Lytechinus pictus: one gene and its partners. The main gene of each other region encodes a partner of the protein of the gene in region 3 in a complex. Links are inferred from orthologs where the notes say so. Each region holds a gene or a part of one and is shown on either strand. Other genes may lie near its edges.

Region 1 (9,748 bases), on a different chromosome or scaffold from region 3:
CATTTATTACTTCCACGACCAATATGTGATGTATTTAGTTAGAAATCATGTTTAAGACAATATTTTTACTCGTACATCACAGTTATATGCATTTTCCCTATTCGCATGTTACATAATTTAGTTAGGGCTTGTAGAGGTTATTTTGAATGTCAAAATACAGTATTTATCACCTATATGGCAGAAGAAATGCTATAATTAAAGAAAATATGTGTTTTCAAATAACATTTTACTCATACAACAGGATTATATGGATGTCATAGTCAAGCAAATCCAAATTCTTACAAAATTATATGTCCCATTCACATTGTAGATAATACTGTTAGGACCTAAAGGGACCATTTTGAATTTCATAATACAGCATTTATCTCATGCATGACTAAAGAAATGATATGTCTTGCTATAAAACATGTTGTCAGACAATACTTTACTCGTATATTACATGCATTTTATGTTTCTTACTCGTGTGAAAATTAGTTTCTCCATTCGCATTGTACATTATAAATATAGGGCCTATGGCGGCCATTTTGAATTTCAAAATAAAGCATTTATCACATAAATGGCTATTAACAATGATGTTTTTAGTCAGTAGTCCACTCGTTTATCTTAATAATATGCATTTTAGTGATCACTCTTGTCATTTTTTTGGCCCCGGCCATAGCCATTGTACATAATACTATTTTGGCCAGTGGCAGCTATTTTACATATCAAAATACAGCAATGTTCCCATATATGACATAATAAATGATATATCTCGTTAGTAATGATGATTTGCATATATTACTTCGTTCATACATCGATTTTTTGCGGTTTAGTGCTCATTTTTGTGAAAATTAGTTTTCCCTACTAATATTGTACATAATAGAGTACCTTTATACAATGGCATATGGCGGCCATTTTGAATATCAGGAAAATAAATATTTTGTAAAAAATTATTTTTTCAGAAAGTATTTCACTCCTGCCACACGATTTCATAGCCCATGTGCGGAAAATTTTATGATTTTCATGGGTAATTTGCATATTTTGGCGGCCATATTGGATTTTGCCAATTTGCGGAAAATGCTCAAGGTTACAAGAGTGGCATCATCCAGATTCGTAATCAGCACCCTCGAATTGACAAGAAACCATCAAAAAATATTGTATATATAAAAAAACGAGGTTTGGTCAAGTTTCTATGGGGCCTATCCTGGACTAACATCCCAAGTCTTGATAAGAATGTACAGACAAAAAAATTTGGTGCAGACTAAAAACATAAAGACACACAGAAACATTAATCATCAGTACTATAAATAGGAAAACAATTTGCACGACTTTTTGGCCGATCACCATACCAGCGAGCCAATTGAAACCATCCTGGCCAAGCCGAGTACTACATGGCTGCTTTCCATGACAAATAGCCAAGATGAAAGCGTTAATCATGCCATCAGCACATTTTCCTTGCTGATCTTAAAAAACCCTTTGATGTAGCATTTTGCAAAAGAAATGGTGAAAAGAATTTCTGTTAAAATATTAGTGTTAATGGGCGAAATATAGCGCTAGCTGGTTACGACACAGGACCTCGGAGGGGGGAATAGAGGATTCTTTCACCCTGCCATACTGCATCACGGAACAGATATCTGCAGCAACGCATTGAAAATGGGGCCAACACACACACACAATGACACATTAAAAATAATTTTAGACTAGAGTCTAGAGCTAGTCTTCTTCCTTTTTTTCTGGTTTAGCAAGATGATCAACCATGGGCTGATTACAATGGATTGCATTGATTACTGTGTATGATCGATCAGAAAATTCAGCATCACGAAGTTAACTATGAATTACACTACAGCCCGGATCAAATTCAACGCCGGCCCCGCGGCGCTAATTAAGTTTCGAACCAACTTCGAGAGAACTTCCCACCAGTAATTGTTCGCAAATGTCATATGACATCGAGATCGAAGCCGAAAGGCCCGAAATATAACCGTTCCCGACATTCGGTAAAGTGGTGGGTATATATTATCTTAAAATGTGATTGAGAGACTTGCTATATGAAATATGTTATTGTTAACAATGACTTTCCGCTATTGCGGAAAACGGACGTAATTCACGGAATCAACCTTTTGAAACGGAAAATGGCTTTTCAAACGAAAAATCACGGAAAACATATTTTTTCTCTAAATGCACAGAATAGCAACAGAAATTACTCCCAAATTCTCAACGAAATACAAATATCAACTGGAAAAACACACGATCTAAAGCCTAAAAAGGAGTAAAGCCGAGGACGAGGTAATATTAATAAACAATGCGCCTATGACAGTACGAGTATGAGTATGAATAGATTATTTCTAGATAGATGGCGCTATATAAATGCCTATCAATCATTATTATTATCTTACTTCGCTACAACAATCATGACAATCCACACATCGTGACTGCACTCGAAATTAGTTTACACTCACGACAGCATAAAGCCAGTATTAAGGCAGAAACACGGCCATGTTGCTGCCCTCTGGCTCTGCCATGTCTGCGTTCGGACTTCGGTCTTATTATCATGATCGCGGTATTCCACAAATCCAAAATGGCAATTAGGCGAAAGTCGTTGACTGCTCAAAGTCAAACCTATGTCCAAAAATTCCCCAAATCAGCAATAAAATCTCAGTTAGGGTCTAATGATTTTTCTTAATAATAATAGTTTTTGTAGATCTACTCGAATCTCTTCAATTAAAATTGATTTTAAAGCAATGTTAGTACAGTGGCAGATACAAATTTTGACCTCGCGACTCATTACTAATTTAGTCATTGCCATTGGCAATTCCGTTTAACGGAATCGTCAATTTTCCATATACACAAAAACAGAATTTCCGTTTCGTCTAACCCAGGAAGCTCCCGCCCGCTGCACGGGCGGGAGCCTAGGAGCTTACCGTGTATTTGACCATAGTCACCGAACTAGGGTGATTTATGGTCTAAATATTTCTCCAAATGAATTGTGAAAACAGAAAGTATACCTACCACGATTATATGGATGAAGGTCTAACGAGTGGCAGTTTCCTGACATCTGGGCACAGACTGGAACCTCAAAAAAAACGAAAAGTTCTCTCCTCTACCCCAGTCTCGATCGGCCATTTTGTTACGATTTTTAACAAAAATGGCCGATCGAGACGGGGGTAGGAGAGAACTTTTCCGTTTTTTTTAGGTTCCAGTTTGTGCCCAGATGTCAGGAAACTGCCACTCGTACTTAGACCTTCATCCATATAATCGTGGTAATTCAATTGTATACTTTCTGTTTTCACAATTAATTTGGAGAAATATTTAGACCATAAATCACCCTAGTCCGGTGACTATGGTCAAATACACGGTAAGCTCCTCATGCTCCTAGCTCCTGCCCTGGCATGCCTGGGCTCCCTCCCTGGGTTACGTTTTGTCCTGCTGAAACAGAATTTGAAATGTTTAAGATTTTTCTAAACCGGAAGAGGCAATTTTTAGAAACAGGAAAATCATTGTCCCTATCTATTGGTGGGGAAATTCTCTCAAAGACAAAGTCAAAGTCGGCAGGTGCGAAACTGCATTAGCACCGGACCCGCCGAACGGCGATAGCTAGCGAACTCACCGCGAGGAGCCTCCGTGTTTGGGAGTGGGAAGCTCCCCGCTCGGGCCGGTCCGAGCAGAATGGAATTACCGTATCCGCAGGCCGGAGCAATGCTCAAATGTTTTATCTTTAATAAAAAATTTGGGAAGACTGTTAACAAAATGAATATTAATTATAAATGGGGATATTTATTTCGAACCATACTAACCTTGTGCACTTACGCCAATTTACTTTGAAAGGCAGAAATAGTGGGTTTTACGACACGACAGTATCACAAAGTCAACCTAAGCTAGCACCCACGTGTCTCGGTTCCAAACAATATGTTACTTCGTCCTCACAATGCAATGCGACCACTTCTTTCCAAAACATCGACCCACAGTAAGAACAAGTCTACCATTGACTCACATTCATAAAATATGATTAGAGAGAAAGGGAGAGAAAGGGGGGGGGGGGAGAGAAGTAGTCTTGAGGACGCAATGATGATGACTTTTAAAATCATGTCATAATGATGAAGAAGTATATATATGACAGGATTTTAAAAGTCATCATCATTGCGTCCTCAAGACTATAGGGAGAAGCACCTAAAAGAAAAATAATTAGACTTTATAGAGAAGAGATTATGAGATAAGATGAAAGAGAATACAGAAATAAGTAAGAGGGAAAAGAAGATGGTATGAGAGAAGGGTGAACAGAGGAATTTATATTAGACTCGGGTGGAAGACGGATCGAGAGGCACAGGCATAGTCTGTAGTAGACAACTAGTGAGAAGCGGACTGATTACTCATTTTTTTTGGCAAGAATCATACAGAAAAAATGAACTAAAATATAATTTTTTGAAGAAAAAAAATTGACAACCCCGATTAAACCTTTTGCACAATGTCAAAGAAAAAAAATTGGTTCATAAACAGTTCAACTACGGCCCGCGAAGCTTCTCAATCCGGCCCGCGAGACTCTGCTGGGTTTTTTTTAATCACTTTTAATTAAGTCACAATATGAAACATAGCTCAATATGATTACATTGTGTATAGTTGTAGACCTAACCGTAATAAAAGTAATGGCAGTCAAATTAATTTGACATTTAAACAAAGTTTAGTGGAGCAGCTGTCTGTTCGATCTACTTTCTAATTATTAGATGACTAGAGCGCTGTTCTCACCATGTTTGGATCTACATACAGGTGCGAAAGTGCATTTTCCACAATGAACATTTTAAAGAATTAATTCATACCGAAGTACCTTGACAGGGGCCGCGGAACGGTTTTGAAAGTGGGGGGGGGGGGGGGGCTGGCCATGCAAAAAATCACAATCATATGGTAATTTTTACGTTTTTGTACACATGGTTTTGGGTGAAGCCCCCCCCCCCCCCCCGCTTCCGCGGCCCCTGCTTGACCAGTGAACATTAATTTTGCACCAGTGCCTTCGTCTGGCAATTACACCTTTTGTGTCAAGGTTCAAGCAACTTGTTGCTGACAGACTGTCACTTTTCCCATATTGAAAGTGACTATAGGAGACTGACATCCTTGTGAAAGTCTACAACAGACATGCTCTATTATTCATTCTACTTTGACTACAAAAAATATTGATACTTCAATTAAGACATTATCTAACTCCCCAATACCAGGTATGTAAAGGTATACAATCTAGATTCCTTTTAACAAAGTACTACAATTTTGTTATCAATATTGACTCTCGCTGTATTTTGAAATCTTTTCTAATTTTGCCTGCGTTCCATATGAAACTGTTATAAATTTGTTGGATTAAATGCTCCCAAAATAAGACAACGGCCAGATTGCACAAGAGAGCATCTAGGACCCCGGCCGCAATAGGGTCTTTGCGCTTCGCGCACATTTTTTTCTAAGTATCCACTTCACCCTGGCCCTTTCAGGTATACTTGGAGTCTCATCTGGCCCTTCACAAAAAAAGTTTGAGAACCCCTGATATAGACAGTGTTAGAACAAGTGGATAGGTAAAATGTGTGAAGCTCAGTGGCGGATCCAGGGGGGGGGGGGTACATCAGGCCCATGCACTCCTTCGAGAGTCATATAGTCAATATTTTTAATGTAAATATGCCGTTCTCACACAAGTGTGCCCCCCCCCCTCCTTTATAAGTTAGCATGATGGGAATATGCCATTCGTACACTAGTGAGCTAGTCCCTAAATTTCTTTTCCTCTTTTTTTGCATAAGGATTTAGAGTCATGCTTAATTACCAATTCGGAAAATGATGTAACAGCACATGCAATCATATTGATTTTTACGCAGTAGCGTGTGTCCTCTTTGCCTGATAATGCAGTGATGCCTTTGATACTGCAAAGCAATACTTAAATTTTTGTGAAACACCCTCCTGGTTGTGCATAGACAAACTATGATTAGACCATGTGGGATGAGAGTAGAAGACAAAATGTGCACAGACCAAGTAATATTTACCAGTGCCCTGTAGCACAAAGGTTAGCGTTCAATTGCTAATTTGAAAGAGCAATTCTGATTGGTTCCTAGTCAGTCTACTGAGCAAAATGCTCATACTAGGATGATCTTGATAGGCCATTTCATTTAGCCATTAATTGCTAATCGTTTTGTGTCACGGGGACAAGATCTATGGCCCATCAAACACAGAGATGGACATAACAACATGAAAAATAAACGAGACACAAAGTTTAATTTCAAAGATATAATTTATTTAGAAATAAATAATGAAAAAAAAAAAACACAAAATGTAATGATAAAAAAATATTTCAATAGTAAAAGATGATCTGTATAAAATAACAACAAGTGGAATGCCTCTGGCCGTCTCACCTGCATCACGCGATTCAATATAGCAGCAGTGCTGATTTTGAAAACTACTATAACTCGCACAAGATGTTCAGTGATACTTGGTTACTCTTATTTCCAAGTTTTATGAACTAGACCAATACACTTATAGAGATATGATGGCAATTCAACAAATACCCCCAACGTGGCCAAAGTTCTTTGACCTTACATGACCTTTGACCTTGATCATGTGACCTGAAACTCGCACAGGATGTTCAGTGATACTTGATTACTATTATGTCCAAGTTTTATGAACTAGACCAACACACTTTCAAATTTATGGCTGTAATTCAACAAATACCCCAATTTGGCCAAAGTTCATTGACCCTAAATGACCTTTGACCTTGATCATGTGACCTGAAACTTGCACAGGATGTTCAGTAATACTTGATTACTATTATGTCCAAGTTTCATGAATCAGATCCATAAACTTTCAAAGTTATGATGGTAATTCAACAGATACCCCCAATTCGGCCAAAGTTCATTGACCCTAAATGACCTTTGACCTTGGTCATGTGATGTGAAACTCATGCAGGATGTTCAGTGATACTTGATTAACCTTATGTATAAGTTTCATGAACTAGGTCCATATATTTTTTAAGTTATGATGACATTTCAAAAACTTAACCTTAGGTTAAGATTTTGATGTTGATTCCCCCAACATGGTCTAAGTTCATTGACCCTAAATGACCTTTGACCTTGGTCATGTGACATGAAACTCAGGCAGGATGTTCAGTAATACTTGATTAACCTTATGGCCAAGTTTCATGAACTAGGTCCATATACTTTCTAAGTTATGCTGTCATTTCAAAAACTTAACCTCAGGTTAAGATTTGGTGTTGACGCCGCCGCCGCCGTCGCCGTCGGAAAAGCGGCGCCTATAGTCTCACTCTGCTATGCAGGTGAGACAAAAACAGTAAGCAATCATATAGCATATACTCTGATACAATTATTATTGTATGCGTTCAAACGATATGTAAATAGTAAATACTTCTTGAATATCTATATTGCACTTCAGTCCCCAGAAAAGCTGGGGAAAGCAAAACAGTGGATTTCAAAGTTCCCAGCATGTTGCTGAAAACTTCATCAAAATCGGCTGTCAAATACCGTAAAGTTATGACATCTGAATTACCTTCACAAAACAGTGATATGCAGTGCACATGAGAGAGCTGATGTACTACACACTGCCACTATATCTCTTAATTTTTCAAGTTTATTTCAAGTGTTTATTTCAAGTTTATTTCAATTCTACAAGACATTGCACATGTCATCAATGAAGTAACAATGAATTAACAATTAACAATAATTGTTACTTGAAATAGCCAAATAATTTTCTCTCTAATAATGTAAAACTAGGTCTGATTCCCAATGGAACATACACAATCTTCATTATCATAATTTATGGTGGTTTGGAGAAAAGCTTAACCATCATCTATAATAACCCTGAATTTGCAGAATTTAGTATTACATACAAAAGAAATTCAAGAGTAATGATTTTACACCATAATTCGTTCTTGTAAAAATGTAAAGAAGTATAAATATGGTTTTCTTCCCATACATGCATAGTTCAATGGCTTCAGCCTGTCAGGTGTGGAATATAAAGCAATTGATCACCTCTTGGTTTCAGGTGAATAGACAAACTATCAATTCCTTGTTGAGCTGGATGTACACAACTGAGCTACAGGAAGATCGCATAGTAGAAAATGATAGTTTGCCCATCATCTTCTTCACCAACTATTATTATTTGCTTCTAGAGGCAAGAACTGAAAGCTAAGTGTACTTCTTTATGTATAAAGAATGCATATTGGCCGAGAGTAATTCTAAATTTATCAAATCAAGGAATAAGGTTCCTAAATATTCATAAATATATCTCGGGGGGGGGGGGGGGGGGCAAGTCAAATGTGTTGCTGTACACACGCGTGGCCAAAAGATTTCCAAACACCCCCTAAACGAGTTTTTCTGTGTGTGCAAAATAACCCCCTAAACAAGTTTTCGCAGGCTTTATTTACACATTTTGACCCCTTAACAATGTCGCCAGAATATGACCCCGGGGAAAAAACCCTACCCTAAACAGGTTTGGCTAGTCTTAAAAAAAAAAGCTTTGGAAACAAAAAACATACCCTAAATCCGTTTGACCCTGCGATTGACCATTGACCAGTCTTTCAAAGCTACCCCTTAGTTTTTGAAAATTGGTGTTTTTGATACCCTTAACAAGTGCACGTATGGCCCGTGTCCAAAACTGAAAAAAAATCCCCTTTAAACACGTTTTTTTGGTCATGCGTGTGTACAGCGATAAATTTGACTGGCCCCCGGGAAATATATTCACATGTGCATTAGATGATTGTGTATGTCTCCAGAGTTGGACCATCCATGTTGGGCTAAATCTTTCACCAAAAAAAATAATGCTATGCTATTGAGATGTAGTCTGCAGAAACAATTCTTTGGTTTTTGCATGAAATGCATAGTGCAGAGTTGGAAGTAGTGAGATAAAATTCACTCACAAACTGTAGCTGCTTCCGCTTCTTATTTGACACACACATAGGGTTTGGAGTTTAGTTTAGTCTCCAACCTACATGTAGATATGGTGTTACTTTATTAAAGAGTCAAATTTAAAGTCTGAGCTTGCAAACTAACTGCATTCTAATTGCATTCATGTGCCGGAGTGGTGTAGTGGTTGAGTCCCTTGACTCATAAACAAAGGGTCAGGGGTTCAACTATCCTACTTGGCACTAATGCTGTTGGGAAAGACATTAACCAAATTTGCCACTCTCCAAACACGGGTATGGTAGGATGCCAACGTCATGCCTTTCAGAAAGACAATTGCCAAGATTTGCCACTCTCTATCCAGGGAGGATGCCAATGAGGCGGTGAATAGATCAGCATACTGTATACACTTGTCTTTTGGCAAGAAACTTTTCCATATTTGCCCCCTAGGAAGTGGAGAATGTGCATAAATGTGTGGAACAGTTAACTTAATCTAGTGAGTGGGCACAACGATTTAATTCCTTGCTCCTCGAGGGTTCTGCGTGTCTCCTTCAACTGTCCTCTTTGACCTTTGACATTCTGAAGTCTCTTTTGCAGGAGTGGCATTGTCCTGGTGATGCCTCTGAAGCAGAGTTGTCCTGATTGAAATCCTCGAAACAACCAGTGCGATTTAATTCTTTGCTCCTTGAGAATTCCCATCAGCAGTCCTCTTTGACGCTTGACATTCTGAAGTCACTTGTGCAGGAGTGGCATTGTCCTGGTGATGTCTCTGAAGCAGAGTTGTCCTGACTGAAATCCCTGAAACAATCACTACAATTTAATTCCTTGCTCCTTGAGAGTTCCCTTCAGCAGTCCTCTTTGACCCTTCACCATTGACATTCTGAAGTCCCTTGTGCAGG
Region 2 (10,724 bases), about 1.4 Mb from region 3:
CATCACACTTACCTTTGATTATTTTCTTCTTCTGTCTCCGTTTCCTCCCTGACCGCATCCATCTTGATGTCTGCTGGTTCCATTTCGGTTGCCATAGCAATCTCATCTGTCTTTTCATGATCATCAGGTTCTTCCATCCTATCAAGGCCTGGTGATCCCTCCATCTTCTGCTCTCCCTCCACTTGATCAACATCATTCCCTCCATCTGTCGGCCCAGGTGAGCTCGGCACTTTCAGCTTTCCTTCAACGTGGTCTACAACTTCTCCTACATAATCCATCACTGATGATTTTTCCTCTGCCTGCATTACTTTGAGGTGTTCCACATCCTTCTCTATGCCAGCTGTCCTTGGTGATTTCTCTACTTTCTGTCTTTCTGATTCCTCTGCCAAGAATTTGCTGATTGTTTCTGAAAGCGCATCTCGCTGACCAGTATCTCCAACATCAGGAAGAGACATTGTGCTTGTAGTCGGACAGAGAGTGTGTCAAGTCCTCGTTTGACTAGCCTAGGTATTGAAGCTTACAGCAATGTGGCATCTGATATTTGTACTCCACACTAGTGATTCACGACATCCTGATACATGTTCGATAATTACTGTGAAAGACAAGATAGCATAAAATGATAAAATGATAGATAAGAATATTTTCAGAGACAATGCTTTATATTTATGATATCAAGTATCTTTAAGAATATGCAGGACACTGAGATTGGGAAAGATAGATAAGTAGTCCCCATCTCAATACCACGCATCATTCATATATTACAAACCAAAAGTATTGTGTCTTGTGCATGCCATTAATGATCTCTAGCTTAATAGCAACAATCTTCAATATTTTCTTTTTACTTTTTGTGTCGGACAGGGGTCAGGAGGCATAATAGCTCAGTCGGTAGAGCAGGGGTTTCGGATTCTGATGACCCGGGTTCAATTCCCACTTGGTGCGCTAGTGCCCTTTGGTAAGGCATTAATCCTTATTACCAGGTCCCTCGGTGAGGACCTTGAGCCATCGGTCCTCTGGTTGCTTGCTTACAAGCATTCATGCCTTCTTAGCAATCAGGTAAAAATCTCCACCAAAAAATTTCAAGATTACAGAGATGAGTAAAGAATCAATCAATGCAAATGATTAAAATATAGACTACATAGAGTCTACCAATGGTTACCCCCTAAGGCTGAGTTCCCCGAGTACGTAAACTAGACAACATTCATTGGCTTTGCATTCTAAGCCATGTGGTCCAGTCTATCTATACACATTAGAGTCTGCAAGGTTATTTCTATAGCAATTTGGACAGGGAGTGACATGTTAGCTAGGTGAAAAAAACAAATTTGGTTAGAGACATACTATTCACTTATTTCAGATTACAGAATATTTTATAGGAGTAAGGACAATAACAATAATAATATGCAACATTTATATAGCACTTTAAATACAAATGTTTCTTAGCACTGCGTACTATTACACCGGTTACCCTGATTGGGCGCATCGAGCATTCAAGGAATTTCTTCCTACCATGTACCCATTTACTACACCTGGGTCGAGAGTGGTAAATGTAGATAACACCTTGCCAAAGGACGCTAGTGCTGCGGTGGGAGTGGGTGCGGTGGGACAATATACATGTTCAAAAACAAAGCCTCATTGGCAAAGACCCTGTTTCATAACAAGGCCTCATGCTAATGCAGTTTTGCACCAGCCAACTTCAAGCAAATTTCCCAGCAGTAAGTTTTTTGTGTGAATATCATAGTGTAGGAGTCTATCATTTGCAGGCGTTTATTTTTAACACAATGCATAGATTGTTTCTATTTCCTTTGATGTTACATTTCCTTTTATCTCACCACTTCTACATTGACTCCTATATTCATCTCATGATTTACATCCATTTTAACCTCCCCAACCACTCCATCACTGACATGATGCTACAGGGCATCGAATCTTTAGGTACCCGTCCTGACTCAGTCCGTACTAGCAGGGAGAAGCTCTGGATGAGACGACTTCGCACCACCCAACCTCATGGCCTGAACATCCAAGAGGGGAACGACTGATTTTTCTTTCCTATCCACTTTCAATTTATATATACATATAATTTTTCCCCTCAGCTCTTTTGAATAGTTACATTATAGTTTCTTACTCTACTTTCCTCCCATATCTCATACAAGCTCAGCTCCAATTTTTCCTTCCTTATTCAGGCGATATAATTATTATTATATATATATATATATATATATATATATATATTTGTTTTTTCTCCACTCACCTCTTTTAGATTTACCACATTTGCTTATTTACATGTATACTATGGTTTCTTCATAATACACCCCCTCTCCTCTATATTTGCTTTTACCTTTTTAGGCAATTTGCTTCCTCTTTTTCACATATACAGATTTTTTTTCTTTCCTACTATATAGTCTTATGTTTTTTCCCGTCACACCTAGCGGATTACCATATCAGTTACACCATATGTGTATATATTTATATATTTTTTCATATACATTTCTTTTTTGGATATATTTATATACATATCACTTATAGATACATATTTACACTTACCTTCTTCTCTTAGTTTGTTTAATGCTTTATCATATATACTTATATGTCTTTTGCACATTATCAGTTGTTCCCCATTCTTTTTCTTCTTTTTTCCCCCCACTCTTATGCACCAGTTTATTAAGCCTTTCTTTGTAACCTGTTTGACCCACCTCTCACCAATTCTCTAGTTATTCATCCCTCTATCACTGTTTTGTTCCAGATCCTGTTTGATGTTGCCTGCCTCATTATCTTAATCCCTCTTGGCCTTACTTACACTAACTTCCCTTTGTGTCTGCCTACTCCTTTTCTTTCATCCCCTTCACTAACCTGATTGGTCTTCTCTACTCACTAATGCCCCTTTTGTCTCCTTGTTTCTAGTGTTGCTGTAGCTTGTTTGTGGTCTATATTATGGTTGTTCCACTTTATATGTTTGTCATTTTGCCTCCGACGAAGATTCTGCTAGGATCGAAAGCTTAGGCCCCCTTTTGACTTTATAATTTACTCCATTGGCTCTCTTTTATTAGATAAGCAGTTTTCAGCAGCTTCTTTTTGCCATTGATTTACATTCTTATCTCATGCTTCACATTCCCTCTTCAGTGCCATCATTTCATCTCCTGCTTTGCATTCCTTATACAATACTATTTGCAATGTTCTTTTCTTCATGTTGATTCCATGGCTCAGTTGATTTACTCTGAATGTTTAAGCCTTTAGAAAAAGTAATGTTTATTCATGAATAGAAGCTCATTTTCAATTTAATTTGAAAGCCTTTTATATTCATGTATTTTTTGTATACAAATTATCTAAGTTGAACACTTACTGTTCAACAAATTATTCATGCAAATAAACACTGAATTTGAGGTTGGTACACCATCTCCAGGCAGCAAGCAAGGATTAAAGTACTCATACTAGTACGAGGTTAGTAAGTATGAGTATGCTATACTAACCTCGTACACCGAACCGCGTTTGACCCCAATCGGTAACACCCCTATACTTACCCGTGTTAGGAAACTGGGACTCGATTCACGCGCATTCGGGCCGCCCTAGCTTAGAACTAAGCATTAATATCACAAAATTGTTTTACTCTACTAATTAAATGTATTCTGTGGAAGGATCAGCTCATAGAGAGTTGCATGCATCGTGCCTTGATTTTACCTAGACAGCTGGCAGCCGTCTGTTTCGAGGAGTTTTTTTAACATTTTTTTTATTTTATTTCTCCTCATACACAGACGGCTCGCTATCGTGCAGCCACCATTAGGGGACTTACAATGCAAAATCCCCCCGTCGGGGCTCTTCAATTTTTGTCTTTAATGAATCAAACTTTTGAAAATTACCGCGACCGAAATGCAAATTAATATTCCCTCTTGGCATTAATTGCCAAAAAACGGGGAAAAGCAAGTTAAAAGGAACAAAAACAGTGACTTACCTCGGCTGTCGCGCAACTTCACTGCCCTGTATTATCCGAACTTAATACACATAAACATATGGCCATTGAGTCCCCTGTACAGATCGCGCTAGAACTTCGGTCTCTGTATTTGGTGAGTGAAGCCAACGGAGTTCAGCTGAACAACCAACATAACAGAGACCGAAGCTTTTGGTCTAGATTTTACCGTGCACGGCGGCAGTAATGCACCCATGGGTGGGATTCAAGTTGTGTCTTGTATAACTCTGTAGGGATATACCACGCCCATATGCTCACCCAAGGCCACCGCTTTTCTGAATATTATCACGATCGTGAACGCTTCGCATTGCCGTGGCTATGCCATAATTTTAATATGGACTGAAGTTAATAACCAAAACTGTGCAAACATTTGGCGAGCAAACGAGTGAGTTGCCGCAGTTCAATCTTTGTTGCTAACTTCAGTCTTTATCAAAATTACAACGAAGCCAAGAAAAGCGATGTCTGACTGAGATTGAGAAGTTTGATGACGTACTTACTAATCATGCTAATACTAATACAGTAATACTAATAGTAATATGCCGTAGTAATATAATATAGTCTAGACTCTAGAGATCGGAGCCAAAGCGAAGTACAGCCATTCCTGATCACGATATTTGAAAAACGGTGGAAATGTGTATTGTTTATTGGCCTCGAAATGTGACCAAGAGACTTGCCATGACATTTGCGAACAATTTCTGGTGGGGAAATTTGATCAAAGTCGGCCGGTGCGAAACTGCATTAGCACCCCAGCCCCAGGCCTCACTCGCCACGAACTTACACCAACGAAGACGAATGGGACTGAGGTGAGAAAGAGATCTGCAGGAAAATTGTCACATGGCTCGAAAAACAATATATGAGTAGCTTTAAATCCATTTGATTCACCACACAAATTCACTTAACGCAATCTCCTCGCATGAAACACTAAATTTTAGTACGTTTGCTATGTAAATATCATAAATTTATATCATTAAACTTACCAAGTCAGACAAGGTGTTCAATTACGGTGTCGTCAAAACGTCCAACGCTCTTGGAGGAATATTTGTTTGTAAGTTAGCAATAGCAAAAAGAAAAACGAAATCAGATTGTCACACGGGCAATAACTGCACAAAGCGGGGCATGGGAGTGTAAAATAAGACGTCATCCCCCCAAAAAAAAACAATAATAATAATCAAACAAACAAACAAAACAAAACAAAACAAAAAAACGCGAAAACGAAAAAAATATAATGAAAAATTGATAAATTTACATATAAATTTTACAGAAAAAAGGGTTTCGATCATGAAGGATGAGGAAAATGCCATGCTCTCCATTGTGTAATACACTTATTATCTCACTTCATAAAGAATAGATGTATGACTGAGTTTGCTTGAATGTGAAATCCTAAAAGGCAGATCAAAGATTTTTTTTTAAGTATGATAATAAATACACTAACTGATGTTCTGATAAGTGCATTCAATTTTTTGGGGGATGGTAAAAGAAATCATATATAAAATGAATGGTCTGGAAAGGAAATGAAATTATTGTCCAATCGGACATTAATGCTCAGCTGATTGCAGCAAACTTTAATCTCTTTGTCGCATCCTAATCATCAGCTTTCCACTGTATATGAGTAATGGACAGTGACATTGTAATATGCAAGGGGGGAATGAACAAGCCTGAAGGGTCCTTAATTGGATTTACCTTTGAGGATCTGACTGTTTTAACCCGGTTTAAACTCCAAGAAGTTCCTCATGCTGCTCACATACCCCTTCATCTCTCACTCCTCAAACGAGACAATTGTTTTTTTTCAAAAAAAAAATGCTTAGCAGATTGCGAGTGTCATGTGGGACAGAGGACGACGCCCCAAGAGCCTTGGAATGAGTCTAAGAAGGGGTGCTAGCATTTAAAAGAAATATTTGACAAGTAAAAAAAAACGACTGTCACTCCAAAATGTAAATGATTTTGATCAAGGAAAATTTGACAAGCAATTAAAAGAACAAACAAAAGGAAGAGGGGTTCATTCCAGAATGAAGCTTAATATTATACCAACCACATTATTTTCCAGGGGTGCTGCGAAATCTTGCGGGCCGGTGTTGAGCACCCCCGCTTCCCAGTGCCATGCACACCCCTCCCCCCATTTTTTTTTCAAATAGTAAAAATAGGAGGAAATGGGGGGGGGGGAGAAAAGAGAATAAAGAATGAAGAAGGGAGAGAAAGGTAATTTTGGGCAGTATAAGTTTGTTTTTTTCGTATCGTCCAAACCCCAGAGGTTGACATTTTACTTTTTTTTGCTAAAATTTTTCAAATCTGGAATACAAGAGAAGAGATAAATCAGCACACCGTTGTATAATCGCTTATTCAATCATCATCATCAGCATCATCACCACCACCACCATAATCATCATCACCGTCATCATCATCATTATCATTGTCATCATCACCACCACCATCACCACATCATCATCACCACCACCCCACCACCACCACCACCATCACCATCATCATCACCATCATCAACATCATCACCACCACCACCACCACCATCATCATCACCATCACCACCACCACCACCACCACCACCACCACCACCATCACCATCATCATCATCATCACCATCATCATCATCATCACCACCATCACCACATCATCATCATCATCACCCCACCACCACCACCATCACCACATCATCACTACCCCATCACCACCACCATCACCATCATCATCATCATCATCATCACCATCATCATCATCATCATCACCACCACCATCATCATCATCACCACCCCACCACCACCACCACCACCATCATCATCATCATCATCATCATCATCATCACCATCATCATCATCATCACCACCATCATCATCATCATCATCATCATCATCACCACCATCACCATCATCATCACCACCACCATCATCATCACCACCACCACCACCACCATCATCTTCATCATCATCACCACCACCACCATAATCATCATCTCCGTCATCATCATTGCCATGAAGATGTATCATACGCAGCGCCATCTCATTTGATTTGCGTCACTAATTCTAGCCGAAAAGCCCAACTGTGTTCCCATGCATCTAACTCTGAGTCAGTCTATTTTAAATAGCTTGTCTCGCCTAAGATTATTTGAGAAGCTATTCAAGCCATGTTTTAGTGTCAAATATTACTTGTTTTCTTCTTATTATATTTTTTATTCATTTATTTATTTTTTGTCTATTCATTTATTTTTTGATGTTGATTGGTTTTTATTGGCGCTCTCACTAAAAAGGGAATATATGAACCAATACAATTTATTTTATCATATCACTTTAATTTTTCATCATTATTTTCAGTAGATAAGGCCTTATATTTCAGGAGATTTGAGAAACATAAGGTCATTAATTTGATAGAAGAAATTTCGCAAGCGCGCACTGTAAAAGATAGCGCCTCTTCGCTTTAAGCCACATCATTGATGAGTCACTTTTATTTATTTATTTTTTTTTTTTGGGGGGGGGTGTCTGAAGGTTATGTACGCCATCGTTTTGTTGTCACGAATTCGATCATCTCTTCAAAGATATACAATATTCAATGGGGAACCATGGATCGTAATATGGGGGCACGGGGAAAAATGAGTTACTTATTTGGCGCGCAAAGCGCACTGCAAGGATTTGTTGAACTAGGCTAGGGCCAGATTCAAGAACAACAAAAAATAATAATATATAAATGCAAAGGTTCGGTTAAATTTATACAGGGATAAGGTTGGAATGTAGGAGTCTGTGTGTGACAGTTCAGCAATTTAAGTTTCAAAAAATGATAAATTTATGTGAGACGGATGTGCATTACAAGCCATGGTGTTTCCACTGGCCTATATACAGATAGGGGATGGACCCCAACAAATTTTCACGATCAAGAAAAAAAGGGGGCGAAAGAGAATGAAAGAAAATGTGTAAAATATGAAATTACTTTCTAATTATCGTGTCAAAGTCTATCACAAAATAAGATTTTTGTATTAAAAGGGTCAAAATCTTTGCTAGCTCGCTTCGCTCACAGCTCTAAAAACTTTACACCAAACCACGCCTAGCCTCCTTCAATTTTTTTTACTCATTACGATACTGGGTGTTTCTAGATATTTCATTTATCTTTTCAGGCAATATGTTCTTGGTTTGGGTAGATTTATTTTGGCTCTGATATACGATATGGATAGATATGGGCTATCAACTCAAATTCACTTCCCGATTATATATGATTTTGTAGATCATAGACGATTGAAACGGGAGTAGGTTTTGATGGGTGATTTTTGGTTTTCACCTACATGGGATTCGATTTTGAAAATATATATTCTCTGACTTTTCAAAAGTATATCGAGTGGAAACCAATATCCTGTATAATGAAGTCACAATAATTAATGACCTCGATCTGATTAAAGTGATAACCTGTTATCATGTTAAGTGCCGTGCTTCAATTTTCGTTAAAATAAACGGGTTCACCCAAATCCCTATACCCTCTCCCTTGCTTTCTCCATATCTGGTAATATAATTTTCCAAATTGAATGACTCAATACATTTTATTCCACATTCAACTGGGACAAGTACTGCTCCTTTAAGCACTGGCGTATACAGGGGGTGGGGCTGCGGGGAGGGAGCATAGGACCCTAGTCAAAATCTATCACAAAAAATAAAAAGTTCAAAACTTTTGCTCGCTCGCAGCTTTCTATGAAATTCCTCGGTGCGCCATGTCTGCCCCCTACCTATTTTTTTTTTACTTATTTATTTTTTGTTCGTTTGCATTATTTTTAGAGAGATGTATATCGTATTCAAGCTTACAATAAAAGTGATTGAATGTTTTATATCAATGTACACAGCAGCTCGACCTGGCGCTTCGCACTCGCATTTAGTTTGCTTTAAGAGAATTACTTTTGTGTATTCTTATTGATGGTCCTTAAAATATGCCATTTTCAGGTGAGTATTTCAAAGATTTCAGATCGAACTGTTTATCTGGTTATCAAATGCCCTCTTCATAGTAACGAAATTTAGATTGCGCTTTTTCGGCTTGCGTTATTCATGCTTAAAGCGAAACCTAATATTGTTCCTAAAATTAAAGTCCAATGTATTTAAAAGAAATTATTTAGAAAAACTTTGGCTATTCAACAGTATTCAAACAGCTGATCGGGCATTATATGTGGACCCCCCATTGAACAACGCTGGATATGGAAGGGGAACATCCACAATGAATATTGATACGCCAAAATTACAAATAGCTAACCAAGAAAATAAACAAACAAAGTAAATATTAGTAACCGAAAATTATCTTGTTTGTAAAGAGGATGGAATATCCTGGAAAATCTGCGTTATGATAGAAGAAAGAATCCGGAAAAGGTTACACAGGTGAATGGAAAATAATGTTAAACAAACCATCTCCATTAAAAATACTAGTAATTGAAGAACAGGGGATAAGCCCAAGAAATAATAAATCATTATGCCCCCTTCAAGGGAGGGATGGGGGTGCATGGGGGTAATCGAAAATGAGGATAGAATGGTAAAAAAATGAAAGAAAGAGAACCGGGTAAGAGGGCAGTGGCGTAAAGAACCAAGGGGCACAACATGGCGAGCGAGCGAATTGAGCGAACGAAAACAAAAATCGTGGAGAGTGGGGGGGGGGGGGGGCATTGTGAGAACTGCAGAAGGGGCTATCGAAGTTATTGTGGGGGTGGGTACTCTGCTTCCCCATACTACTCAGGTAAACCAATGTTCCACTTGAATTAGGCCTTATTGGTCAAGCCAAACTGAGAGTTTACCAAGATACCGAAAAACAAATGACCAGGTTGTCAACATATTTGTTCAAAATAATTGCCCAACTTTTGTCAATTTTGTTAGTAGTGAGTGTTACTCATTCAAAGTATAATATTATTTAAATAAATAGCTTGGTTAGGCCTTTATTCTTTATTCATTTCTTCCAGAGCTTACAGTTCATTTGACAAAAGAACGGGAATTGAACTAAGCAGACAATAAGAGGCCCACTTTTTTTCTTCTTCAAAGTTTTTCAATTTGAGAGCATCGGTGTATGTTTTACAATTATCTCCAAGTTTGTTTTGAATTCGAGGGGGCGTTGTCCACAAAAAATAAGACAACTTCCAAGCTTTTTTTTTCCATCAAATAGTGAACGAATTTGTATAAACCCCATTCAAAGTCAGACACGATTCAATCTTCTAATATTCTTTTGAGGGTCAAAGTTGACGAGTCCAGCTTATACACAGTTCGCAGACATTCCTGGCATACTTAGGGTCTGACCTCACAATAAAGAACCCGGCGTCTGATTGGCTGATATCGTTGTGTAAATAACCAGTAGGCGTATAAGGTGTCCAATGACAAGTGGGCTTATTGTATTGTTTGGAAATAATGTTTGTTCTTGGGCTTTTCCTCCTCGGAGGACCTTTGTGTCGTTCTGTAGAACCCCGTGATGATAGCGTTTTCCAAGTTATTCCGTGGCCAACAATTACATTGTGTGCATAAATGACCCATAGTGGACACAAACAAAGAAAGAACAATAACATCCTCAAAATGTTAATTATCTTTTCGATAATTCAATTACTCATCGCTCATCAGCAGCAGTGCATGGGATTACAAAGCGTTTCGTATAATAACTTCTTGATAATCGTGGCGATTGTGCTCACTCAGTGTTGGGCCCATATAAATGGCGTATAATAAGCCCCAAAATTTAAGGGGGCGAGATATGGTGTAATGGGCAAAATTTAAAATAAAAAAAAAATGCGTGCGAACAAAATAAATATTTCGAAATTTTCTTA
Region 3 (10,774 bases):
CTGGCTAATCCTACTGCTTGGGAGATTTTTTTTTCTTTCTAATTGATGTCATTTTCAGTGAATCTGGTGAGGTTTGCAAAATGATGTTAAATCTTGAGAATCATCCCATACAGGCGTGGCCATGATGACAGGCCAGCATATAGGCCAACATGTAGGCAGAGAGAAGGGGGTACTAAACAGGGTACCATATGCCACCACTTTTCACACAAATTCTTTTGGGATATTTGCTCCAATAGACCAGTTCGTAGTTACTTCATGGACAATTTTGGTCAAATGACCATTCATTTCTTTCATAATGATAGGCAGATTTCAAAGCAAGATATTACAAATGCATGCCTTACATAGCAGGATGAAGAAATTGAATAGACCAGGTGACTAGAATAGCACATCAATGAACGAACACTCTATGAAGGTATTTGTTGCATTTCTACTTTGAATGCATATTTGGGGCATATTTAGAGGATGTTGTACAATGAACTTGGCAAACTTTGAAATATACCAGTCATTCGTGGACGCATTTTTGTGTGGATGGAAATGAAAAACACAATTCAAATGAATAATCTAGCCTTGAGGACTCCATGATAATATTTTTCAGTATTTTGACAAATATTTCTTCATCATGGAGCCTTGAAATTCTTTCCATACATTCATAAGCGGGACCTACACACCCGGATGGATTTCCCTAGGAAATCCATATTTACGGGGTGAAATCGGTTTATAAGTGTGAATTTTACTGATCTTTGAACCGTCAAATGCCTAATGCGTATGAAGGGATAAAAATTATTCCACTATGAATGGCAAAAATGAGAGGTTTCTTACCAGACCGATCTCGTGTAGATCCCTCAATCCGTTTGTCAACAAAGCAAATACAATAGGCCTGACCCTTGAACCGCTTCGTTATGACGTACCTTCGATTAGCGATGTTACAAAATGCCATTTTGAAGAACAATTTATAGATAAAAATTATTATTTAACAAATACTAAAATTTAAAATGTGATTATGAATTATTATTATTATTGTATTTGTGAAACATTGAACAAGTTTAAATTCCTTACCCAGCTTTGTCTTTGGGGATGTAGAGGGGTGGACATCCATCCAGAACTTGAAGAAAGTCTTCCAGACGAGAAACCTTGGGATAGATTCTTTCCAGGATATCCATGGTTGGTCGGGTGGAGTCAGAATCATTCAATTAATGAATCACCCAGTCTAAATAGAAGCAAAGCAATTAATGTGTTAATGTTGAGTGACTACTGGAGTTAGATGGCTAATTTCGGAGTTCAACTTCACAGGTGTAATCTTAACAAAATTAAATTTTGCCTCCGACGAAGATTCTGCTAGGATCGAAAGCTTAGGCCCCTTTTGACTTTCTAAAATTAAATTTTGTCGGCTTCCTGTAAAAAAGGGACTTAGGGATGATTTTCACAATTATTTTTTTCATTATACCCTTTTTAATTTGCTGATATTTTGAGTTTTACTTGTAATTCGAAATAATTTTTGCATCGCTGGATTGCCTAGGATGTAGGCCCCATCTTTCAATATTTGAATAAAAAATTAATTGTAAAAATTACCCCCAAGTCCCTTCTTGTGGGAAGCCCATGGGTAGGTCAACTCTCGCTATTGAACTTAAGGTTAGGGTGGAACTGCAAGAAGAGCATATGACACTCTTTTTTCATCTCCAACACACTCTGGACAATAAAAATAGCAATGAGTGTATCATAGTGGTGAATATACACTATGTATCCTCATTACATATACTCACAAATTCAGACCAATCACTAAGCATCTGATACTGTATGTATTACTAGTGTAGGATAGTTATTTTGGCATTTTCTTATTTGTTTATTTCTCCTATCATGCTATCTTTGCCACCACGCAGTTTTACATTTCTGTTCTGTCCAGACTTAAGTTCATTTACATTTCTGTCAGTACTGCCCTTGCAGTCTGAACTTAGGTTATGTAAGTTCATAATTATATTCAGTTGCCATCCATTCTTTCCACTCTGAATTCCTTTCCTCTCATTCTCTTTTGTCATCTTCATTCTTCTCTATTTAGGTGTTCTACTAATTCCTTTGTCAGTTGCGAAAGGAAGGCTGTATCTTAGCAACCATTTGACCATGGGGCAAAATATTTCGGAATTTTCCGTCAGACACTTGGGGGAACATTTGGTGTGAGTATAAAGAAAATCGGAGGGGTCGGGTGACAAACACTAGTTGATTTGACATGGATTGACATTTGACCCAGACATATTTGATGGGATAAACGGGAAACGAGGTGATCTAAACTGACTTTGGCTAGAAGTAAAACAAAGACAGAGGCTTAACAAGAAAAGACCATGCCTGGCTTGATCAGAAAAATAATATTAAAGATATAGATCTAACGTTAGACGTAAAAACATATACAAATCATGGCTGGGTGAGCGACAAAAATTAAGGAGAGTTAAGTAAGACTTAGGGGGTTCTAGGCCTAGATGTAGATCTGTTAGATCTAATTATGATGATAAAACATTAACAGAAGTCATAACTAGGCCGAACTACAACCATGGCATGAATGATAACTAGCAAAAACAGTCCTCATACTACCAATGTGCTATGGGTCTTCCTGGGTCCCCAAGTCTACGCACCTAACGACTTGAGTTTTTAATATGAATTTCTTTTTATTTCAATAAATCTTTTAAGTTAATAATGTTCCTTATATTATGAGTACGTAAGTGTACCAAATATCTCATAAAAAATTGAAAGAAATGGGGTCTATAGGATTGTCTTGGAAAAACCTCGGGCAGTCATTTTCAGATTGAAAAAAAAAATGGTATAGAGGTCTACCCAGTTGTTGTGTGTCAGGACTAGCCTTGAGGACAATTTATAGATAAAAATTATTGTTTCACAAATAGTAAAATCTAATACATAATTATTTATAATCAGGTAATAAATTTTGAAATTTGTGAAATATTTTTTTTCTATAAATTGTTCTTCAAAACGGCATCGCTATTCGGATGTACATGTACGTCATAAGGAAGCAGTTCAAGGGTCAGGTCTATTGACTTTGCTTTGTTGACAAACGGATCGAGGGATCTACAGGAGATCGGCCTGGTAAGAAACGTCTCATTTTTACCATTTATAGTGAAATAATTTTTATCCCTTTATACACTTTAGGCGCATGAAGGTTCATAGATAAATAAAATTCACCCCTACAAACCAATTTCACCCTCTAACTATGGATTTCCTAGGGAAATCCATCTGGACGTGTAGGTCTCGCTGCAGCGTCTATGGAAAGAGTGTCAAGGCTCCATGTAGAAGTACATGTCAAAATACATAAAAAAATATCAGACCTGGGAAGCGTTTCACTTGTCAGACGTTTTATCAAGTCCCATTTTATTTCCAACAGTTACCATAGTAATAGTGCCTCTCAGCCAATCAGAATCAATGAAAGATGTCAGATCTGACAACTTGTCAGACCAAAATGTTGATGAAACACTCCCCGGGAGTCCTCAAGGCTATGTCAGGACGATCAATTTTAGAAAGTCATAATTTGGAAAAATTTACAAGCAAAGTTTCATCAATTTTTAGTAGGATGGGGGGTTGGGTGTCCGGACACGTAACAGAAATGAAGCCTTGTTTTTATCTCAGGAATAAACCAAAAATATAGGTTGAATAGTTTTTTTTCACCATCAATATTTGTTCTTTATAATATTTTCTTATATTCTGTGCTAAAAAGAATTAAAGACATTGCTTGTAAACTTTTCAAAATTGAGAGTAAAAGTCATGTGTCCGGACACCCAACCCGTCCGGACACACAACCACTGGGTATACAAAATGGTAGCAATTATAGAGAACAAGATTAGAGAAGACAACTAGTATTATTGAATTCATAATATTTTAGTGTAATCCAAAGTAAAAAAAAAAAAAGGCTTAAAAAATAGTGTCCGGACACCCATCCCCCCCATGTCTGCGCACCCATTCACTTTGCACACGATTCAGGTATTTTGAAGAGAAACTAAAAAGTAAAGGCTGCATTATGACTTATGAGGCCATCAATATTATGATTCATATAAAATGCCCAAAATTCATTCTTTTTCCACCATTTTGTCTTTATAAATATCTGTCTTATGTGTTGCAAGCGTTTGTGTTCGTTGCATTTCTTCTTTTACAAGAATTGCGCAGACTTGTTGGGGGAACTAATTGCCATACCTCTTTAGTCTTGTGCATTTCGAATTACTGTATCACGGAATCGTGATGAATTGTATATGTACCGTACGTGTAATATTCGCATGCGTTGATGATAATGAGGTATCCTAACCTATATTTGTGGCCATTTACTCGTTTAGAGTTTACACTTTATTATATTTTAAAATGTTCCATTTCTGTTTCCAATTACGGCGGATTCGCGGCGGAGATGGTGGCATCACCTAGCATAATATTACTAGCCCTGGCGCTAGATCCTAAATATTTTTGGGTATTTCACCTCACCTGAAATTGCACCTTGATGATTGAGGTTGAACTGCATCAGTTGGTTCGCTGAAATCGCTTCACAAATATAATACGGCCGCATATTTGGGGTATTTGATTTACCCGCGGGATCATTCTTGGTTTCCCTTTTTGCAAGCCTTTGAGGCACTGGCGTAAATCCCGGGGGGGATGGGGGGGATATATCCCCCCCACTTTTCGAGGAGGGGGGGATGGCCTGTACAAACATCCCCCCCAGTTTTTACGAAAGAAATGAAAAAAAATCACAAGAGATAATTGTTTTATTGGTGAAAATTCTTCCTAAAATACCGCTTAACAAATAAAACAATATTATTGAATCATAAAATGACAATAAAGAGCCAGTTCACCATTTCCAAACGAAATACTTATGTCCTTATCATAACATTGAAGAGAAACCCCCGTTTCTTCCAATTCATCAATGTTGGGGTCTTTGGGAATTAGGGATTAAGATGGAATGTCAAAACATTTTGAATGTAATCTCTAATAAAACCATTAACCATCATGGGGTAAAAAAGATAATAATATTGGAGGGTATTTGCCATATGGACATACAGTGGCGTAACTACGCGGGGGGCATGGGGGGCACACCCCCCCCCCCGGCCCCCCCCCCCCATCGGCTGACCAAATAAAAAACGGGGAAAGTGGGAAAAGGAGACAATAGGGAGAAAGGAAGAGAAGCAAAGTGGGAAAGAAGAAGATATTATTCATTATAATGTTATATTACATTATAATTATGTTATGTTACATTATATATACATAAGAAACATTTTTATCATAACTTTATGAAACATAATTTGCCCAGGGCCTACGTCTTCATTGTTCCTGGTGCTCGCATTGTCTGTTTAACGAGATATATAATCCTGTTGTACTAAAACATCTCGTTTTCAAGTCAATATAAACCAAATATATTTCCTAGCACTTGAGTTATCGTTGTTTTACGTAGTTACATATGCTTCTTTTTCATGACTCAAAAAGTGATTGCCTCATGTTAAGGTCTTCGTATATATGAAACATTTCCTGTCCGTGATTACGTTCGCATTAGTGGATTGGTGAGATATGTCTGCTCTTCATGAATTCCTAAAATCAGTCCATAAAATGTCCCTTCTTCTGATCTGAATATCAAAAATTTTCAGCTCGCGCTTCGCGCTCGCATCATTTGGTTAATGAAATACGTATGGTCCTAGTTAATTCCTACAAAGAAACCTTAGATTGCCCCACTTCAGGTCTGAATTATCTAAGTTTTCAGCTCGCGCTTCGCGCTCGCATTGTTTAGCGAGACAGGTTCCTATCATGATTACACAAATTTGATTATAATGTCCCTTTTTAGGTGTGAATATAACAAAATTTCAGCTCGCGCTTCGCGCTCGCATTATTTGATTAGTGAGATACATATCCGTTTAATGACATTGTCTTTAAAATTTCTCTATTAGGTCAGTATAACTGGCAACTGCGCGCGCTTAGCGCACTCACTCAGTGATTCAAAAATGTTGCTGGTGCCCCCCCCCCTCCCCCAATGCCGTGACCCACGGTACGCCACTGTGGACATATCAATGACAATTCCTTGCATATCTAAAAACATGATTGCAAAAAATTCCAAAATATTTCAGTCATCCCCCCCACCCATCAACACGGATTTACGCCAGTGCTTTGAGGCTTTTTGGGATACCATTTTCTTTCATTATTTTTTTTTCAAATCTCATCTTAATGTTTCATGATTATATTTGTATATTTATGTTTAAAATAATGTATGATATTTGTATGTTTTTACATGTATATACATGTATTATTGAAATAAATAAATGAGAGTATTTCCACTCTCCCTCAATACAATAGTATTGAGTTTTTCTCTGTACTCTTTTTCCAGGATGCATCAAACATTTTGCCATATTTTTTTCTAGATATCATCATGCGGCAAATGAGATCTTATGTGGTTTCTTATAATCAAGTATATCTTCAACTTATAATGATTTTCAATCAACACGCTGGATTCATTTGTTGATAGACTTTTCTAAAGTTTTTAAATCCGAATAATAAATCTGAATAATACGAGCCAGCTTAACCGTTTGCTTGTGTCATCATTTTCTATATTCTTTAAAAAGAAAGCAGGTCATTGCAATGCAATGAAACGCACGCAGTTATCACACAGGTAGATTAAAAGACGTTACAAAACAATGAAAAAAAAAATAATGCTTTTTCATGAAAAATAAAGAATGGGCGATCTATATATAGCTTTTGTCTCGCCTGCATAGTAGAGCGAGACTATAGGCGCCGCTTTTTCGACGGCGGCGGCTGCGTCGATGGGCGTGCAAACAGTGGGAGAGGGGGGCAGAAAAAATCACGACCAAGAAGAAAAAGAGAAAAGGTAAGGGATAATGGTGAACAATTTATCACAAAACTTGGATTTTTGTAATAAAAATGTCGATTTTTTTTTCTCACTCGCTTAGATCGCTCGCAATTTATTATCAATTTTACGCGATACGCCATTTCGAGCCCCCTGAAAATATTTGGCTCATTACGCCACTGGCCAACATTGACATCTTAACCAACTTACTTATTTTTTTAAATGTCATCATGTCTTACGAAGTATATGGACCCAGTTCAAGAAGCAATTGGACTTAACGGTAGGACTAATCAAGTATTCCGAAACATCCTGCCTGAATTTCAGGTCACATGATCAAGGTCAAAGGTCATTTAGGGTCAATGAACCTAGGCCATGTGGGAATCAACACCGAAATCTTAACGAATGTTTATTTTTTTAATGTCATCATAACTGTAGAAGTTTAAGGATCTGGTTCGTGAAATCTGGTCATAAGAGTAATCGAGTATTGTCAAACATCCTGTGACCTGTGCATGTTTCAGGTCACATGATCAAACTCAAAGGTCATTTAGGGTCAAATAACTTTAACCATGTTGGGGTATGTGCTAAATTTCATCATAACTTTGAATGTTTATAGATTTAGTTCATGAAAATTAATTAGACAAGGGTAATTATGTATCATTGAACATCCTGCATGAATTTAAGGTCACATAAATTTAGGGTCAATGAACATAGTATTTCATTATCATATGGATGTTATTTTTTGTGAATAATTATTCAATGGTTGTTTTTCAAAGTCAGCACTGCTGCTATATTGAATCGCATAACGTATGTAACGGATGTAAAGTTGATAAAGTATTATCAAACATCCCCTCTGCAAGTTTCACGTCACATGATCAAGGTCAAAGGTCATTTAGGGTCAAAGAACTTTAACCTGTTGGGGTATTTGCTGAATTTCATCTTAACTTTGAAAGTTTATAGATTTAGTTCATGAAAATTAATTGGACATAAGGGTAATCATGTATCTTTGAACATCCTGTATGAGTTTCAGGTCACATAAATTTAGGGTCAATTAACATAGTATTTCATTATCATATGGATGTTATTTTTTGTGAATAATTATTCAATAGTTGTTTTTTCAAAGTCAGCACTGCTGCTATATTGAATCGCGTAACGTAGGCGAGACTGCCAGAGGCGTTCCACTATTGTTATTTAAAAGAGCAAAAGGTTGAGACTATATTAGTGTACTACTGTACATAAAAAATAATGTTGATAATTTACTTTTATCTGATTTTATTTGATTTGGTTAGTTTAATATTTTAAACAATTGATATGATATTAACCATGACAATATTGATTAGTAAATCAAACCGAAATACTGCCTTTGTATAGAAGGTCGTGCAATGCTTTGGAAACAAGATTACATCCAATTATGTGCCTTTTTTTTTAAAAAGTGAATATTTCCATCATGGGAAAGCCTAAAACGAGAGACCTTTTATCTACTGCTCGAGATGATCCATTACCATTGTATCTAAATTCCCGACAGACGACGTTTCCTTGTACGCAGCAGAAAACCAAAAGCTCCATTCCAGGTTAAGACCTATTCCTAATGGGGAAGAAGGCAATTAACTCAATTTTCAGATTTCGCTCCTCAGTGACTTAAAGAGCTTGTATAAATACGTCAGAATGAAAAACAGTTTTTTATTGTGTGACGTCCAACACATCGCAACGTGCAGTTCTCTAGATTGTAAAGACAGTGTTCTATTAAATCTTATAACCTAAACGTGCCAGCAAGATATGAAATAATCATCTTTGGAAGCCGACATCGTTTTAGCGAAAGATGACATGACGAGTTAATTCTTGGATCGCATCTCATGGTGGTATCCCTTCGAAGAGATGATCAGTGTGATGAGATATGGGATGTCGTCATGTTTAGATGAAATGATCAGATGACGGGATCTATTCCGTGGAAGCGCCGTGGTGTAGCGGTTCTGACTCTCGCCTTGTAATCAGAGGGTCGTGAGTTCGAATCCCGCCATGGCCTAGCGTCCTTTGGCAAGGCGTCAATCCACAATTTGCCACTCTCCACCCAGGTGTTAAATGGGTACCCGGTAGGATGCGAAAGCCGATGTAGTATGCCTAGCAATTGAGTCTTAGAACTCTTGTTGGAATGCTCCCCAGGGAGTGGAGAAGGTGCATACATTGTATGCGGGCATGCAAGGATCCGATGACCGGGGTAATAATATATCTGTAAAGCGCTTAGAGACGTCGTTCCGATGTGTTAAACGCTATATAAATGCGGAATATTATTATTATTATTATTCCAAATCATGGAAGACAAAACAGATAAGATATTAACTGATGATGATGATGATTATTACTATTATAGTTACTATTATTATTGTTTTTTTTTCAATTATTTCATTATTATTATTTATTATTATTTTTTTGTTATAGTTCTTTGGGTCTGATATGTTGTGATCATAAAATAATAATAAGTGGCCCATGAATGTGTTGACAGGAAGTGAGTTCCAGAGCTGAGCTGTCCTTGACAAGACAGTGTTTTACTTTGGGACAGTGACTCTTTAGGGATGGGCAGCTGCAGTAGAGCGTGTCAAACTGACATTGGGGGCCAAGGGGGGGGGGGTTCCATGCAGACAACTCATCGGATGGTTTCAGGAAGAAGTGACGGTAGAAGGTACATGTTCAGAGAGATGCAACATTTATCCGGTGCTCAAGTGGATAAAGGCAAACCTTGGTTTGTCTTCAATTCTCTAGAGGCGGATCGCTTTCCGCTGCCTATCAAGAAGTGCGAGTACAGCTGCTCTAGCCTGTAGTTCGATGCATATATACAGCTGTTCCATTTCTTGGGCTCATCTACAACATGGGCAGTTTTCCACTCTGAATGTGTGGTTTTTCTGCTCAAGGACAACTGGTATAGCTTTGAAAGAACTGGTGCAAGCTCAAGTGCACAGTTCTTAAGTACGGTGGCTGATGCCATCTGGACCAGTTGCCTTGGATATGTCAAGATTTCGTAGTTTCTTGAGGATAACCTTAGGCCAGAAGCTGATGGTAGAGACAGATTCACCAGTTTTCAACTTCAGCTTATAGGAGAAACTTGGCCCTTATCATCAAGATGCGCATTTGCAGTGAAGGTGCTGCATAAGGAGCTCAACTTTGTAACATCTGCACGGCCATTGTCATCTTTCGGTGGAGGGACAGCAGATGACTTGTTGCTTGCAGTTACATATTTGACCAGTTTCCACCACTGCTTATTGCTGGCATGCTTAATTGAGTTCCTGCTCTAGGTTTTGTGAGAACTATACGTGCTCTGCATAATTATGGTACGCTGACATCTAGATTTAGATTCCATAATAATAGGAGCCAAAGATGACTTGTATGGCTCTTTTGCCAGTTTGTAAGCCTTCTGTTTGGATAACAGTGTCATGACATCTGCCATTGAACCATATGGCTTATCCGAGTACGTGTGTTCGATAGTCCTGGATGGTAGTGAATTAAAACGTCCATTGCATCTCCAATGTTTTCTTTCTAACTGTTCTAGGCGATATCAGCACTATCAGCATTATGTGACTTTCAAAGGGAGGACCAGTCAGCTTGAAACAGGAACGAGCGCAGACTATCCCAGTCAGCTTTCTCGTACAGCCAGTTTTGCTTGTAGTTAGCTACATACATATCACAAATCGATCAGAAGAGCCAAGGGGATTATCAACCGATACCACGTGAATGCCAGGAGAAGTAGTTATAGAAAGAGGTCCAGTTTGGAAAAGTTTATTTGCCTCATCGTGGTACACTTTAGAAGAAATTATCATAATTATACTTATTAGAAGTATTATCATTAATATTATTACCATTATTATAGTTATTTTACCCCTCTTTTCCTTTTAATAGGTTATTGCTTGCAGTGAACTAAAGTTGTGTTTCATGATATCATCTGTAACCGTGGTGACAGCCCCA

Evidence for each region.
Region 1: telomerase reverse transcriptase-like (region 3) and H/ACA ribonucleoprotein complex subunit 1-like share a complex: the UniProt entries of both Homo sapiens proteins name them as parts of the telomerase holoenzyme complex. The link is inferred for Lytechinus pictus from reciprocal best matches to the Homo sapiens genes TERT and GAR1.
Region 2: telomerase reverse transcriptase-like (region 3) and telomerase Cajal body protein 1-like share a complex: the UniProt entries of both Homo sapiens proteins name them as parts of the telomerase holoenzyme complex. The link is inferred for Lytechinus pictus from reciprocal best matches to the Homo sapiens genes TERT and WRAP53.

The regions. Positions count from the first base shown.
Region 1 is NC_087262.1:10,786,136-10,795,883, reverse strand, and holds the start of H/ACA ribonucleoprotein complex subunit 1-like, read right to left. Parts: upstream 4,107-9,748; 5' UTR 3,771-4,106; intron 1-3,770. Other genes in the region: uncharacterized protein LOC129281146, read right to left, coding at 9,667-9,748. UniProt on the Homo sapiens protein: Required for ribosome biogenesis and telomere maintenance. Part of the H/ACA small nucleolar ribonucleoprotein (H/ACA snoRNP) complex, which catalyzes pseudouridylation of rRNA.
Region 2 is NC_087260.1:24,210,028-24,220,751, forward strand, and holds the start of telomerase Cajal body protein 1-like, read right to left. Parts: upstream 5,006-10,724; 5' UTR 4,933-5,005; intron 593-4,932; 5' UTR 456-592; coding exon 13-455; intron 1-12. UniProt on the Homo sapiens protein: RNA chaperone that plays a key role in telomere maintenance and RNA localization to Cajal bodies. Specifically recognizes and binds the Cajal body box (CAB box) present in both small Cajal body RNAs (scaRNAs) and telomerase RNA template component (TERC).
Region 3 is NC_087260.1:22,796,410-22,807,183, reverse strand, and holds the start of telomerase reverse transcriptase-like, read right to left. Parts: upstream 4,707-10,774; 5' UTR 4,465-4,706; intron 1,208-4,464; 5' UTR 1,161-1,207; coding exon 1,057-1,160; intron 1-1,056. UniProt on the Homo sapiens protein: Telomerase is a ribonucleoprotein enzyme essential for the replication of chromosome termini in most eukaryotes. Active in progenitor and cancer cells. Inactive, or very low activity, in normal somatic cells.